Sus scrofa: one gene and its partners. The protein of the gene in region 4 purifies or fractionates together with the protein of the main gene of each other region. This does not show direct contact. Links are inferred from orthologs where the notes say so. Each region holds a gene or a part of one and is shown on either strand. Other genes may lie near its edges.

The links.
Region 1: the proteins of TXNIP (region 4) and WWP2 purify together in Homo sapiens (affinity purification with mass spectrometry; 3 studies listed by BioGRID and IntAct, with this or other methods). This does not show direct contact. The link is inferred for Sus scrofa from reciprocal best matches to the Homo sapiens genes TXNIP and WWP2.
Region 2: the proteins of TXNIP (region 4) and NLRP3 purify together in Homo sapiens (affinity purification with western blotting, with the first as the bait; 4 studies listed by BioGRID). This does not show direct contact. The link is inferred for Sus scrofa from reciprocal best matches to the Homo sapiens genes TXNIP and NLRP3.
Region 3: the proteins of TXNIP (region 4) and WWP1 purify together in Homo sapiens (affinity purification with mass spectrometry; 4 studies listed by BioGRID and IntAct, counting the BioPlex papers as one, with this or other methods). This does not show direct contact. The link is inferred for Sus scrofa from reciprocal best matches to the Homo sapiens genes TXNIP and WWP1.

What each region holds. Positions count from the first base shown.
Region 1 is NC_010448.4:17,224,947-17,229,406, forward strand, and holds the start of WWP2 (NEDD4-like E3 ubiquitin-protein ligase WWP2), read right to left. Parts: upstream 3,037-4,460; 5' UTR 2,893-3,036; intron 2,746-2,892; exon of another isoform or gene 2,402-2,745; intron 1-2,401. UniProt on the Homo sapiens protein: E3 ubiquitin-protein ligase which accepts ubiquitin from an E2 ubiquitin-conjugating enzyme in the form of a thioester and then directly transfers the ubiquitin to targeted substrates.
Region 2 is NC_010444.4:56,894,376-56,897,425, forward strand, and holds part of NLRP3 (NACHT, LRR and PYD domains-containing protein 3), read right to left. Parts: intron 2,917-3,050; coding exon 2,746-2,916; intron 1-2,745. UniProt on the Homo sapiens protein: Sensor component of the NLRP3 inflammasome, which mediates inflammasome activation in response to defects in membrane integrity, leading to secretion of inflammatory cytokines IL1B and IL18 and pyroptosis.
Region 3 is NC_010446.5:50,415,033-50,418,839, forward strand, and holds part of WWP1 (NEDD4-like E3 ubiquitin-protein ligase WWP1), read right to left. Parts: intron 3,671-3,807; coding exon 3,586-3,670; intron 3,454-3,585; coding exon 3,325-3,453; intron 1,840-3,324; coding exon 1,764-1,839; intron 1,662-1,763; coding exon 1,590-1,661; intron 1-1,589. UniProt on the Homo sapiens protein: E3 ubiquitin-protein ligase which accepts ubiquitin from an E2 ubiquitin-conjugating enzyme in the form of a thioester and then directly transfers the ubiquitin to targeted substrates.
Region 4 is NC_010446.5:99,347,311-99,351,545, reverse strand, and holds the start of TXNIP (thioredoxin-interacting protein), read right to left. Parts: upstream 2,958-4,235; 5' UTR 2,696-2,957; coding exon 2,446-2,695; intron 1,933-2,445; coding exon 1,860-1,932; intron 1,738-1,859; coding exon 1,590-1,737; intron 1,383-1,589; coding exon 1,280-1,382; intron 1,149-1,279; coding exon 892-1,148; intron 791-891; coding exon 634-790; intron 522-633; coding exon 370-521; intron 238-369; coding exon 202-237; 3' UTR 1-201. UniProt on the Homo sapiens protein: May act as an oxidative stress mediator by inhibiting thioredoxin activity or by limiting its bioavailability.

The DNA of each region.
Region 1 (4,460 bases), on a different chromosome or scaffold from region 4:
GGTCAAATCAGAGCTACAGCTGCTGGCCTACACCACAGTCACAGCCACAGCCACAGCCACAGCAATGCCAGATCCTTAACCCACTGATCGGGGACAGGGATCGAACCCGCAACCTCACAGTTCCTAGTCAGATTTGTTTCCACTGCACTGCGACAGGAACACCTCTAGGAAATATTTTAAAAACTAAACTCAAAAAAAAAAAGGGGGGGGGGAGTTCCTGTCGTGGCACAGTGGTTAACGAATCCGACTAGGAACCATGCCCTTGCTCAGTGGGTTAATGATCCGGTCCCTGCCCTTGCTCAGTGGGTTAATGATCCGGCGTTGCCGTGAGCTGTGGTGTAGGCTGCAGACGCGGCTCGGATCCTGCGTTGCTGTGGCTCTGGTGTAGGCCGGTGGCTACAGCTCCGATTGGACCCCTAGCCTGGGAACCTCCATATGCCGCGAGAGCGGCCCGAGAAATGGCAAAAAGACAAAAAAATAAATAAATAAATAAAAATAAAAACTAAACAAAGGAAATTTCAATTCTATTGTACTTAGGACAATAAACTTTAATGCTACCATTTATAGCATATAAGTACATTACATTTATAAGGTCATTTAGTATAATCTTTTTAAAAATTAATGAGAAATTTTACCTTTATCTTTCTGTACTAAGTCTTCCAAAATCTGGCATGTATTGTATAGTCATAGCCTATCTCCTGTACTCGGCAGCCCCATGTGTCTAGTGACTACGGATCTGAACAATGAAAACCCTAGAACAATGCCTGGCAAAGAGTTCGTGCTTATAAATAGCCACCAAATGAAAAAATAAAGAGGCAGCTATGGTATAGCATAGGATTTTCTAAACTTTAGTTACACTCCATATTCACAATTATTGCTATAACCTATACTATTTTCCCCTTAAAATGTCATCCTTTGCACACTTGAAAAAAACATTTTTTTGAAACTTTACATTGAATCTAAAAATGGAAAAGAATAGGTCCAAGGATAAAAGGCCTGGGCATGAGTCCCTGCTCAGTCATTCACGACTTCTAGATTCTCAAACAAGGACTTCACTAAGCCTCAGTTTCTTCAACTGCAGAATAGGGACAATTTCAACCTTCAGAGGATCATAATGAAGACTGAATAAGCTCTTTTTTTCTTTTTTTGGGGGGGGAGGTGGATGTGGAAGTTTGAGGGCCAGGGATCAAACCCATGTCACAGCAGTGACTCCAGCCATAGCAGTAACAATGCCAGATCCTTAATCTGCTGAGCCACCAGGGAACTCCCATAAGCTTTTTTTACTATGGGAAAGTAGTCACTAAATAAGAGATTGAGAAGCCAACCCAAGCCAACCCAACCCCACACCTATCATTTTCTTATAGACCAAACAACAAAATGGCAAGCTCATTTACCAAGAAGAAGAGGCAGGACTCAGATTCAAATCTCTTCTCCACTTACAGGTCTGTGACCTTTAGAAATTCATTTATTCACCAAAAACTTACCAAGTGCCCATAGCACACCTGGCTCCAGGCTAGTTGCCAAATAAGCCAAATAAGATATAAACCCCGCCCTTTGAGGAATTTGCAGTCTATCAGAAAGAAAGAGAACAGCAGACAAGAAAACACAAAAAAATTGTCAACAAAATCCAGTCTTCTGAGATCTGTTTGTTCACTGTGAAATGAGAATAAACATCTTCCTAATCTAACTCCCAGGGCTGTCACAGAAATCAATTTTTAAATGTTTGTCAAACATTCTAAAAACTTGAACTCAAAACACATTAGCAAGGTACTTTTTTTTTTTTTCCTACTTGTAACCCAAAACAACTCCAGCTCCTGGGACTGTCCAGTTTGAACATTCACTTCTATTACATCACATCCATGAAATGCATTCCACTTTTGCAAATGTTAGTAAACACAAGAAAAAGCGGGTGAACAGCCTTAACACAGGTATTTAATCTCAAAATCATGATCCAGGTCACAGTTCTATGGAACACAACACAGACCTTCCAGTCATGCTAGCTAGTTACAGTTTGTCAAGATAAGCAGTCACATGGCAAAGGAAACTGAATAATTTAAACTCAAGAAAGAAAAAGTCATAAAGCAGGGTAGGTAGATACCGGCCAAGGTTACTGCAGTCGCTGTTAGGTGAGGTAATGCTGGGATTGGACCGTGCTCAACAGTTTAAGCTAAAAGCCATTTTACAGCCAGAGCAAAGTGCCCACGCTCTTTTCTTAAGCCCAGAAGTTGATCTGATCTGTGGAAATTTCAAAGAAACATGATCTGAAAGGCTAGGTTCTCAAGAAGTAGAAACCCTACCCAAGCAGGACTAAGTGGGCGTGACGAAAGCAAAATGATCAAGATTCTCTGATCCCTCCTGAAGTTTAGAAACTGAATGGGACCAAAATCAAAGTCTCGGGTACCAATCATTGCCAAAGAGGAAGGAAGGAAGAGGCGCTCAAGCGCGGTTCAGGCAGCATCTTCCTCCTGATTTTTCCTTCCACGTCGTTCGCCAATTCTCAGGCGACCCATTCTAGCTCAGTCCCAAGTTGCCCCTTCCTCCTGTCCCGATCCCGCCACAAAGGTCACTCCTCTTCATCCCTGGCACCTAAGATGCTTGTCCCTTCCAGGAGGACTTGCTGGCCACCGCACTTATGCGTGCCTTGGCGCCCACCTCGGAGTTGCCCCCGCACCGCCCGCAGCGCGCCCACCCCGCTCGGGCGGGAGCCGGGACACCCCTCCTCGGAGGCCGGAACCGCCGCGCCAGGCCCCTCCCACAGGAAGCCACCGCCCCCCGGCGCCCGGGCCGCGCCGCCCCTGGCCCACCCCGCGCTGCCCGCTGCCCGCTGCCCCAGGCCAGCCCCGCGCCCCCGCCAGCCTGCCCGCCGCGCTGCCCCGCGCCGGCGCTCGCTACCTGACGGGACCACAGAAGCGGAGCCCAACTCCTCTCCCACTTCCGCCTTCGACCGCCCGCACTCGGGCCAGGTCACGTGACCACGCGTGGTCACCTGACCCGGAAGAGGCTGGCCGTACCTGCAGGTGTGGGCAACCTAGGCCAGGCCTGGGAACCTTTAGCCAGAAAGCCTTCTTATCCTTTGTATGTTTAAAAATGGGAGGGTTTTCCCCTCGTCAGATGGTACCCGAGCAATCAAGTAAATTGAGGGCTCGGTGAGTGCCAGGAGCTTCATTTACTCCTCCCATCGAGCCCAGGGGCGTCTCTGTCAGCCCCATTTCACAGGTGAAAGGAGGCTTTCAGTCAATTAAGTCAGCGGTTAATTTACTGACTTAAAATATCCTAGGGTCACCAGATAAAATACAGGGCACCCAGTTAAATATGAACTTAAGATAAAAAATATGTAATATGTAGGTGTGCCCCAAATACTGCCTGGTACATGTTTATACTAAAAAACTATTTGTGGTTGATGCTCATATTTAATTGGGCAAATTGGGTTTTAATTTGCTATACCTGACAACCTTAAGCCTACTATGTGCCAGGCAGGGTTCTAGATTCTAGAAACACACAAAAGTAACTTTTGTGGAGCATCTGTTTTGTTTTGTTTTGTCTTTTTGCCATTTCTTGGCCCGCTTCCACGGCATATGGAGGTTCCCAGGCTAGGGGTCTAATCGGAGCTGTAGCCGCCGGCCTACGCCAGAGCCACAGCAACGCGGGATCCGAGCCGCGTCTGCAACCTACACCACAGCTCAGGGCAACGCCAGATCCTCAATGCCAGATCCTCAGCCGACTGAGCAAGGCCAGGGATCGAACCCACAACCTCCTGGTTCCTAGTCGGATTCATTAACCACTGAGCCACGATGGGAACTCCGGAGCATCTGTTCTTGTGACATAAAGCAAAAGTAAAAAGACTCCAGAACCCTTGCTGGGGTTGGTAAAATGCCCACCACACCAATCGAACCCCTATTTCCTTAATATAAAGAGTCAATAGCACTTTATGAATTAGAAAAAAAAATTAATCAATATACTTTACTGATGGTAGGGAATTCAGTTTTGACAAGTTGAAGGAAGGCTCAATTTTTCACTCTTCATCACCACAAACTAAAATGAAGACTAATCACTTAATTAGCTTTAAGCACTGTGCACTGATTATTCTGTTATTTTTGGGTCTTCCCGTTCAGAGTGATCCTATTATGCATACAAATTAAATTGGTTGAGCACTTAGTCTCTGCTTTTCCTATTTCCACTCCAGATCCATCCAGGAGATGGCCTTTCAAGGAGCTACAGCCTTTCTGAATACCGTAATTCCTATATGAATCCCATCTATAAACCTATTCAAACTTCTTTATTTCTCTCACCTCATCTCCAACTACTCTTCCACTCAGTACCCTGCTTCAGCCACTCTGGCCTGAGGGCCTTTGGACTTGCTTTTCCCTCTTTCTGGAAAGCTCTTTCCCCAGGTAGTCAGTTGGCTCACTCATCTCTTTCAGATATTTACTCAACCACCCCTCTCAGTGAAGCCTTTCGTA
Region 2 (3,050 bases), on a different chromosome or scaffold from region 4:
ATGAATATGCTCCACTCTGTTAGTATAAGGATACAATGCTAATTTGAACTACTTATTCAAACCTGAATGCCAGTGGGTTCTCAGCCTTGAGGTCATGGGCAAGAACAGAAATTTCTGGGCTAAATAGAATTTATAATCTTGGAGTTCCCACTGTACTGCAGGGAGTTCCCATTGTGGCTCAATGGTAATGAACCTGACTAGCATCCATGAGTACACAGATTCAATCCCTGGCCTCACTCATAGGGTTAAAGATCTGGTGTTGCCGTGAGCTGTGGTGTAGGTCACAGATGTGGTTCAGATCCCACATTACTGTGGCTGTGGCGTAGGCCAGCAGCTACAGCTCCGATTCAACGCCTAGCTGAAATTTCATATCCCATAGGTAAAGCCCTACAAAGACAAAAAAAAAAGAATCTGAATGTAGAAGCTTGGGTATCTGTAGAGGGTATCTGGTTTCGATCCCTCACTGGGTACAATGAATTAAGAGATCCAGCATTGCCACAGCAGCAGCGTAGGTTGCAGCTGCAGCTCAGATTCATTCCTGGCCTGGGAACTTCCATATGCCATAAGTGCGGCCATAAGAAAGGGAAAAAATAATTTGTAATCTTGAGGTGGTACATAGATAAAAAATAAATGAGAAAATGATATAGAATGTATGATGGTTGTCAACACTCAGGAGGAAAATTAGTAGAGAAGAGGAAAAGCATGCTGGGCCCACTATTTTCAGTAGAATGGTTAGAATCAGACTCACAGAGAAGACTTCTAGGCAGAGAATTTAAAGATGCACAGGAATAAACCATGTGGATATCAAAGCAAGGGGGATGTCCAGGCAGAGGGAACAGCAAGTGTAAAGTTTTGGAGGTGACCATGTTTTTTCAAAACAGCAAGGAGACCAGTGTGAGTGAGGCAGAAGGAACTAGGGCTAGGAGAAGATTAATTTGTGGAAACAGCAGGGTCCAGATCATGTGGGGCCTTGGACATTGTCATGAGTTTGTGGCTCTTACTTTGAATGTGACAAGAACATGTTAGTAGGAATGATATGATCTGACTTATGTTTTAGCTCTACCCTCCATCTGCTATAGTAAGAACAAGAAATGCAGAGTAGCCTTAAAGAATGCCACCAGGATAATCAAAACAAGAGATGACAATGGCTTGAACCAGGGTAAGAACCATGAAGCTGGCCAAAAAAAATCATCAATGAGTGGGTATACTGTGAAAGCAGAGTTAATAGGACGTGCCAGTGGATTGAATATGTGCCTAAGGAAAAAAATGTCAAAGAAAACTCCAGGATCTTTTTTCTTTTTGACCAGGCATCCAGCACTACAGCAATGGCCCGAGCTGCAGGAGTGACACCATATCCTTAATCTGCTTAGACACAGGGAACTCTGACAGCAGGTTTTTTTTTTTTGAACTGAATAATTCAGACTGGGTTACCATTGACTGAGATGGAGAAGAAGCAGGTTTTAGGCAGAAGGGAATAGCATATGTTTGGAAATGGATATCTGAAATTTGGGAGGCTTCTTAGACATCCAAGTAGAAAGATGAGACGAGCATTTTTTTTAATGGCCACACCTGTGGCATATGGAAGTTCCTGGGCTGGGGGTAGAATCAGAGCTGCAGCTTCAGGCCTACACCACAGCCGTGACAACACTGGATCCAAGTCACACCTGAAACCTAGGTTGAAGTTTGTGACAACACCACTGAGCAAGACCAGGGATTTAACACACATGCTCATGGACACTATGTCTGGTTCTTAACCCACTGAGCCACAATGGGAACTCTGAGATAAGCATTTGGACATGGAATTTGTGAAGATATTAATTGGAGGTAGCATAGCACATATATGATAAAACAAGAAGACTAGATGATATAAACAAAAGAAAGTGTGGAGAAGAAAAATTAACCCACTGATTGAGTCCTGGAGATTCAGCATGTAGAAGTCAAAAAGATGAAGAGAAGCCAGAGGATACTATGCAGAAATAGTTAATGTAGTAGGAGAAAATGCAGAGGAGAGTGTGTTGTCCCTAAAGCCAAGTGAAGGAAATATATAAAGTGGAGAATGGGATCATCAGGGATGACAGACTAGCTCTTACTAGAGAGGTAATGAGTACCCCAGTGGTACCAGTGATGATGGAAGGGAGAGAATGGTCCCAACACATTGTAGATAGGCCAAATTTTATAGAATTTCTAATTTTGATGTTTCTGGAGAATTTTCCATTTACTAGTTCTCAGAACCAAGACCAACAGACCCCAACTATGCAAAGATCTTTGCAATTAGGATGACTTGTCGAATTCTATAAAGTACAATACCTTGCATAGGAATATAACTCTATTTGTCTTGTTTTCACTGGGACTTGTGTTTCTTTCAGGAATGGAATGGAAACACTTTTCACACCCACTAAACCATGATTATTATAAATGTCTGAATGAATTTGACTATGTATTTCATGACTCACATATCCCATGTATTAAAAAAAATTAGGAGTTTCCATGGTGGCACAATGGGTTAAGGAGCTAGCATTGCTATAGTTATGTCATAGGTTGCAGCTTCAGCTCAGATTCAACCCCTGGACTGGAAACTTCCATATGCCGTGGATGCAGCCAAAAAAAAAGAAGAAAAAAACTGCAGCTGTTCCAGGCACAACCTCACCCAAAGTGCAAATGAAGCCATCCTGGATTTGGGAAACTGGCCAAATTTTCCTTACAACTATGAGTCCTGTCATACAAATCTCTGCAGTGCATGCTTACTTAAGGCTTTTCAGGAGGCACCCCTGCTGTTTCAACACTTCACAGAGTAGCATGACCCCCAGATCACCCAGGTCATTGTTGCCTAGGCTCAGCTTTCGCAGGCTCTGGTTAGAAGTCAGAAGTGTGGAAAGATCCCAGCAGCAGTGTGATGTGAGGCTGCAGTTCTCTAATCTGCAAGAAATAAGACGATTTAAAGAAAATGTTTTCTTAATTACGCCTCCAAGTCTTCCAGATCTTAGCCTGTAATGTTTCAAGTGAAGAAAAAGCACAAGATTAACAAGCTTGGAACTGCCTTATGTGCCAAG
Region 3 (3,807 bases), about 49 Mb from region 4:
TGAAATGATATATCTAAGATGCCAGTGCCAGAGTTCCCATCGGGGCTCAGGGTAACAAACCCGATCAGCATCCATGAGGAAGCGGGTTAGATCCCTGACCTTGCTCAGTAGGTTAAGGATCCGGTGTTGCTGTGAGCTTTGGTGTAGGTCACAGACACAGCTCGGATCCCACATTGCTATGGCTGTGGTATAGGTCGGGAGCTGTAGCTCCAATTCTACCCCTAGCCTGGGAACATTATACGCCGTGGGTGCGACCATAAAAAGACTATATAGATAAATAAAAGAAAATAAGATGCCAGTGCCGAGCATATGGCAGTCACTCAACACATGATAGGATTTATTATGACTATTACTATAATGAACACACAGTAAATGATAGTCATTGATAGAGCTGTGTTCTGAGTGGTTTCAAATTTCTAAATTCTAAAACTCCCTTTGGATATACAGAATACAATGAGACAAGTTGTACATCTTCCCTCAATATCCAAGGTAGGTTGGTTCCAGGACACCCCCACAGATACTAAAATCCAAAGACAGTCAAGTAATATAAGCTATGTACATCTTCCCATACGCTTTTTTTTTTTTTTTTTTTTTTTGTCTTTTTGCCTTTTCTAGGGCTGCTCCCGCGGCATATGGAGGTTCCCAGGCTAGGGGTCTAATTGGAGCTGTAGCCACCGGCCTACACCGGAGCCACAGCAACATGGGATCTGAGCTGCGTCTGCGACCTACACCACAGCTCACAGCAACGCTGGATCCTTAATCCACTGAGCAAGGCCAGGGATTGAACCCGCAACCACCACTGAATCACGACAGGAACTCCTATCTTCCCATATACTTTAAATTATTTCTCAATTATGTATAATAAGTAATGCAATATAAATACTACATAAACATAGGGATACCTTGGGGATATTACAGGTTTGGTTCCAGACCACTACAATAAAGAGAATACCACAATAAATCAAATTACATGAATTTTGTGGTTTCCCAGTGTGAGTAGAAGTTATATTTATATCATACTGTAGTCTATTAAGTCTCGACTTAATAGTCTAGACAGTCTTAATAAGTCTATGTAGTCTATTAAGTTTAGCATTATGTCTAAAAAGACATACATACCTTTATTAAAAGATATTTTATTATTTAAAAAAATGCTAACCATCATCTGAGAAAGTTGTAATCTTTTTGCAATAGTATACATCAAAGATTACTGATCACAGATCAATATATAAATTTAATAATGAAGTCTGAAATATTCAAGAATCACAAAAATGTGACACAGGGACACCAAGTGAGCACATCCTGCTGGAAAAACGGTGCCAAGAGACTTGCTCAATACAAGGTTGCCACAACTTTCAATCTGTAAAAAACACTATCTGCAAAAGCGACATAAAAGCAAAGTGCAAGAAAATGAGGTATGCCTGAATTTGCTGGCTGCAGCAAATTCAAATTTAGCCTTTAGAAACTTTCTGGAGTCCCGTCTGTCCCCACCCCAGAATAGTTTCTATCCACAGTTGGCTGAATCCACGGATGTGGTAGCTGCAGATACAGAGGCTAACTGTACTATTTTATTCTGATAAAATCGTTCTTACCTGTTGGAAGGAATCTTCGAACAATGTCTGCCGGGACACATTGATCTTTACATGACTGGGTAGTGCATTAGACTACAAAGAAAAATAACATTGTAATGTAAGTTACAGTGCATGTACTGTGTAAAGATAAAACTAAATGATTATGAACATAAGATTTATTTACCACCGTAGTACCTGGCACAAATAACGGAAGTGAGCAAGTTTCCACCTAAAGCTGCGTTCATAAGCAATCTGTGGGCCACCTTTAGTTCTAAAGAAAAACAAAAACAAACTATATAATAATTCATAATAAAGCTGGATATTTAATATTCAGTATGTGACTGGAGTGTACCAGGGTCCAAAAAATGAGTACAGGAAAGTTACTTGCTGGGAGAGAAGTAAAGATATATTTAGTGGGCCAACAGAGATTCAAGTAATGAGGACACACAACATATAAAAATGAAGAGGGAGGGCATGTGTATGGATAGATCTTTTGTAAAAAAAAAAGTGAGTTAAATAAAATACTAAAGTCAACTACTGACTATTTCAAAGAAAACTTCAAATCCCAGGTGGGCAGAGGCTCTTTCAGGTAGTTTTCTTGTAAAGTGTAGCAATAAAAATGAATTTTCACTGAATGAATTCATAAGGTGAAGAATTATGGTGTTTTGCTTGTCTGTCTTTTTTTTTTTTTTTTTTTTTTTTTTGCTTTTTAGGCCATGCATGCAGCATATGGAGGTTCCCAGGTTAGGGGTTGAATCGTAGCTGCAGCTGCTGGCCTACACCACTGTCACAGCAACTCAGGATCCAAGCCAAGTCTGTGATTTACACCACAGCTCACAGCAACGCCAGATCCTTAACCCACTGAGTAAGGCCAGGGATCGAACCTCCATCCTCATGGATCCTAGTTGGGTTCGTTAACCACTGAGCATGAAGGGAACTCCCTGTTTGCTTTTAATTTAAGGAAATTAACAGCTGCTGAGAATAATTCAGCAGAGAAAGATGGAGAATATAAAGACGATCACTGTTGGAACAGTGAACTGGAAAAGAGGGGGAAGAGCTAGTGCACCAGCACAGGGAGGACTGGACTTTGATAAGAACGATGATAGTTCATCTTCAGGATGAAGAGGGAAGAGAGATACTGATAGGTGGACAGATGCAACGGTAGGAATTGCAAAAAGTTTTTATGGCTATTTCTACATACTTACTGATACAAGGACATTACACTAAGAGTAATAAGGGAGTTAAGGAGAGATCTTTCAAATGCTTAATTGAGCTATTTTTACCTGGAAAATTAAATTTTCTTGAACATCTCATTCTGTGATGTTGCAACAGCATGATGCACCTGTTAAGAGCACAGACTCTTCGGACAGACTGCTTTGGTCTGAAACCACTTCCATTACTTGCCTATAATTTTGCATAAGTTAGCTGTGCTCCCTAAGCCTCAGTTTCTGAACTTGGAAAATAACAGTATCTACCTCAAGGAATTGTTGGAAGATAAAATGAGCTAATTTACACTAAATGTTTAGAAGAATCCTTGGCACACAGTAATCACTAGGTAAATATTTACTATCGTTCTTACTAAGGAATTATGTGCCGCAAAATCATTCTATAAGAAGGTAGAGCAAAGACAGGCATAGTAGAGTATTACTTGTGTAAATTTTCTTGATACACAAAATAAAATTTATTGCTAAACTTGAGGCTAAATTAGAAGTGAAACCTATGTCCTCATTACACAGCACATAAGAGCTTCACTTACACAGATGACTTGCCATTGCGAGGATCTTTGAATGTTGTTGTTCTTGTATTATGGTCAACAAAGTACCTAACCCCTTCCCGGGTATACCTAATTTCCCAGCCTTCTGGCAGGGGTTCTTCATTCTGTAAGCTAAAAGATAATGCAATAATCATAAGGTGAACATTTTACAGGTGCTAAAAACATCTGAATCAAGGTTTTTAATGCAATTCTATCTTCAGACATGTGTAAGATAACCTAAGAAAGGCTGTAGTACATACGTACCCTTGGGTTCTGGGATCCTCCCACTGGGTTGTTTTTGTGTTATGATTCACAAAGTAAACTCTGTCTGTTGAATCCACTCTTTTTTCTAAAAAACAGAGTGAGCATAGCATTTAATAACTTTTTGCTATATATACATCTCAGATACTTTTACCAAAACCATATTTGCTTGGAGTTCCCATTGTGGCGCAGTGGTTAACGAATCCGACTTGGAACCATGAAGTT
Region 4 (4,235 bases):
CAACATCTCACTGGCTGAGGACGACTGCGCACCCTTTAAGGCCCAAGAGATTGCCTGATGATCACCTCCTACACCGGAGAGTCAGAGGCTGGGGTGGATCTGTACCCCACTGCAGAGACTGTTGAGTCTCCTAAAAAGTCAGTCCAGGAAGAGAGGTGAAAAGAAAGAAGTAGGTATAGCTGCTTCTTTCCTTCCACATGTTCACTGCACGTTGTTGTTGAGGATGCAGGGATCCACCTGGGAGGAAGAAAGAAAAGGATATTTTAGTTTGGGTAAGAACTAAGAGAACAACCCAGTTTAGTAATCCCTCCAAGTCAACTTTCCACTGAAGGCTTAGGACAAATGTAGTGGCAAAATGACAATTCTTACCTCACTGTAAGTAGGTGGTGGCATGAACTTAAACTCAGGAGCATACATAAAGATAGGGCTGTCTTGAGAGCCATCTGTGTCATCTAGCAGAGGAGTGGTGGGGCTCTCCAATCGGTGATCTTCAGGAATGATATCCATATAGCATGGAGGAGCTACAGAGACAAAGTATGGGGATAAGAAGCCTGGCCAAGAAATGCCTGACCATCACAATTTTACAAACCCAAGCAGACCAGAAGGGAAGAAAAGACATTAGGTCTGGCTCACCTTCGGGGGTATCAGGGATGTTTAGATCTACCCAACTCATCTCGGAGCTGGTTCGGCTGGCCATGCTGGACGTCCGGCTGCTGAGGCCTGACCTGCTGCCAATTACCAGGGGCAGGTCAAGAATGACCTTCTTGGAGCCAGGGACACTAACGTAGATCTAGAAAGGAACACGGGAGTTTGTTAGGCTAGAGATCTGGAGAAAACATCACTATTGTTTTGACAGATGAACAATTTCTCTCTCCAACCCTACAAACTCACCAGTAAGAAGTATTCAACTCGAAGGATGTTGCAGCCCAAGATAGAAGGCCTGATCTTCTGCACCCGAAGGCTCTTGCCACGCCATGATGCACAGGTTCCTGAGATAATGTGATTGCCTCTGACCGATGACAACTTCTGCGTCAGTACTTTGGTTTGGCCATTGGCAAGGTAAGTGTGGCGGGCTACAATGGCAGCTTTGGGCACCACAATGCGGGAACATGTATTCTCAAAATCAGCATGGATGTTAATCTCATCACCTAGCAATGGGAAAGATGAAAACTGATGCTCAGTACAATCAACGACTTTTCTTTTGTCCCTTTCTACAGCCCTCATCCCAAACCCATAGTTTCTGTTTTAGCAGTCTCCCATTTTAAGCACAGATTTTTACCTTCACAGAACCCTTTTCTGTCGATTCGAGCAGAGACAGACACCCGGCCATCAGGAATGAACATGCAGGAAACTTTCTTCTCCTTTTTAGCAGACACAGGTGCCTATGTAGAATGGAGGTGTTTTGAGAATTTCTAGAGATCCTTTCCCTGCTTTCCGTTCCTTTCCAGTACTTATTTATAGTAGGTAGCCTTCCCTCCCACCTTGATGATTTAGGACTTGATTCCCCGAGGGGCTTCACTTTTAATGCCCTAGACATTTGACTTAGCACCCCTGAGCCCAAAAAGAACAGAATCTTAGAATGACTTTACCATTAAATCAGGGGTATTGACATCCACTAGATCCATCACTTCGAAGTGTTTTTTTGTCTCTTGAGTTGGCTGGCTTGGGCGATCAAGAAAAGCCTTCACCCAGTAGTCTACACACCCATATTTTCCTTTGAAAGATGTTCCCAGAGGCCTTTATAAAGAAAAAGGAAACAACTAACTTAAAAAAATGCTCTCCAAGAACAGTGAGTGATCAAAGGAGGGGAAGATTTTTAGAGACAGATAAGTCCACAGATGCATTTAGCTGATACCTACCCCTGAGGAAGCTCAAAGCCAAACTTGTATTCATATTTGTTTCCAGGTCTCATGATCACCATCTCATTCTCCCCTGAAAAGAGAGATAAGCAAGTAACCATTAGGTTTCCTGTTACACTTAAAATGCATCTGTGCCGATAAGGAATTCTTAGGCATCACGCAAGAGTATTGCAGAACTCGTATTCTCATCCCTTTTGTTCCTAAATGACAGATTCTGATGTATTTTGTTGGGCAAAAAGTTGCAAAGCCCTGTAGTGTTGACAGGCTCAACCAGGACAGTTAAGCTACAATCATCTCAAACAAGAAGCAAGCAAAGAATAAGCAACTTATGCACAGAAATGTTTCAATAGGTAAGGCAACATCCTTCAACATCTCCAGAACACAGCACCACAAGAAATTGTACAAATCACCCTTTTGGGTGGGCAGGGATTGTAAATTAAAAAGAAACAAAAAGATAAGGAATTGACACAAAATTCAAACCACACCACCTGAGCAACTTAGAATATTTAGTGTAGGCTCTATTTATTCGTATCAACTCTCTTCTCAAATCAGCTTTCGCCCTCCAGTCAACAGCTGGGTCACTTACCTGTTGGGTGGTCGTCCAGGAGAAGAGTGTCTTCATAGCGCAGGTAGTCCAAGGTCTGTTTGCACTGCTGGGATCCCTGCATCCACAGGACTTTGGCCACTCCACAAGCCAGGATCCTGACAGCTTTGATTCGAGTGACTTCACACACCTCCACTATCACCCGGCCAGCCACCTTCTCCCCACAGCCGTACACCTTTTCGGGGTCGTTAAAGACCACCTCAAAAGACTTGATCTTCTTGAACATCACCATGTTTGGGCTCGGTTGACTTGAGAGTTAGAAACGGGGCAGGGGGCAGGAGTGAAAAACAAAACCCCGAATCAAAGGGCCCTTTGCAATGAATTAAAATTATTTCACTTTTCAACTCTCTATTAAATGTTCGACAAGATGTTCCCTTGCTGGTTGTGCCAAGGTATTTCAAAAGAAAAATAAGCTCTTTCCTGTCTTTCCTCCAACAGCTGGAGGAGAGCTCCGGATCTCGGCGGGAAAGCTAACAGCGATCTGCCAGAGGAGTGGAAAGGATAGCTTGTGCTGAGAGCTATAAACTGCTCTATATAGTAGCCGGGCAGGCAGAGCCACGCGAGCGCTGGCCCGGAGGCTCGTGCAGCCCTCGTGCACAGCCCGCCCATTGGCTGCCCGCTCCATGTTTACCAGGAGCCCGACCAATCAGCGAAGTCGCAGCGGCGCGTGGACACAGTGTGCTCCTGGCGGGGAAAATGGTTGTTGTGCACTGCTGCGGCCCTGGGAGGAGGGGGCGCAGGGGCCGTGGGCGGCTTCCCGGGAGCCCAAAGGAACGAAGCATTCGCAGACCCTAAAATTTATCCGAGGCCAGTGGCCTTGGGAGGGCGAATGAGGATGCTTCTGGGCTGGAGCGACATTTCGAGGTAAAAGGAAAATGTGCTTATGAGGGAATTTCGTGCCTAGCCATTGCCAGTGCAGTTAATTTAGAGGCGACCGTTTATTCCCGGCTCACAAATCGCAAGTCGTGTGAAAAACAATCCCCGAGCGCCAAGAATACTTTAGGATTGGGGCGGAGGGCAAGGAGTGCTGCTGTTATTATTCAGGACGAGCCCCTTTGTCTTCTTGCCCCGCATCTCTATTAAAAACACCCCCCCCCCAAAAAAAATAAGCTGATGTGAGAAGGAAATGAGAATTTGTCACAAATTTTTACCCTCTTCTCCGCGCACACAGGGAAGCGCGCGTGTGGGACCTACCAGCCTTTTTCCTCCCTTTCCAGCCCCCAGGGCTCAGGGCTTGGTGCTGGGCTGTTCCTCAGCCCCTGCGCCCCCAACTCAGTTCTCTCTGTTCTCTGGACCGGAAACAGTAAGGGCGCGGCCACATCCTGTTGCTAATGCCCTCATCTCTTCAGTCCCTAACCTGCAAAGTTGAGGGACACTTTGTTTCTGTTCTCCCAGTTACCTCATCACTTCTTTAGTAAATTGTGTTCTCTAGGCTCAGGTTACCTCTCCCTCCCTACTTCTCCAGGAAAGGGGGAAAAAAAAGGATGCTTCATTCTGCGCTTTTTTTCTGAATAACTTTAACTCTTTCTTGCCTTCGTTCCCTCTCCAATTTACTAAATCAAAGGTACATCCCTAAATCTGCTGCCCACCCTCCTCACAGCCTTCAAGTTAATTAAAAGCAGTAAAGTTCTCTGGTCTGTAACCAAAGTGTCCTGTTTGAAGGAAGCATTTCCTATCTTTGAAAAGTTTTTTTTTTTTTCTAAGTTGTTCAGAAATTGCTAAGAAAGCAAAGAGAAGACCGAAGGTTCACTGGCACGCTATATGCTAAAGCT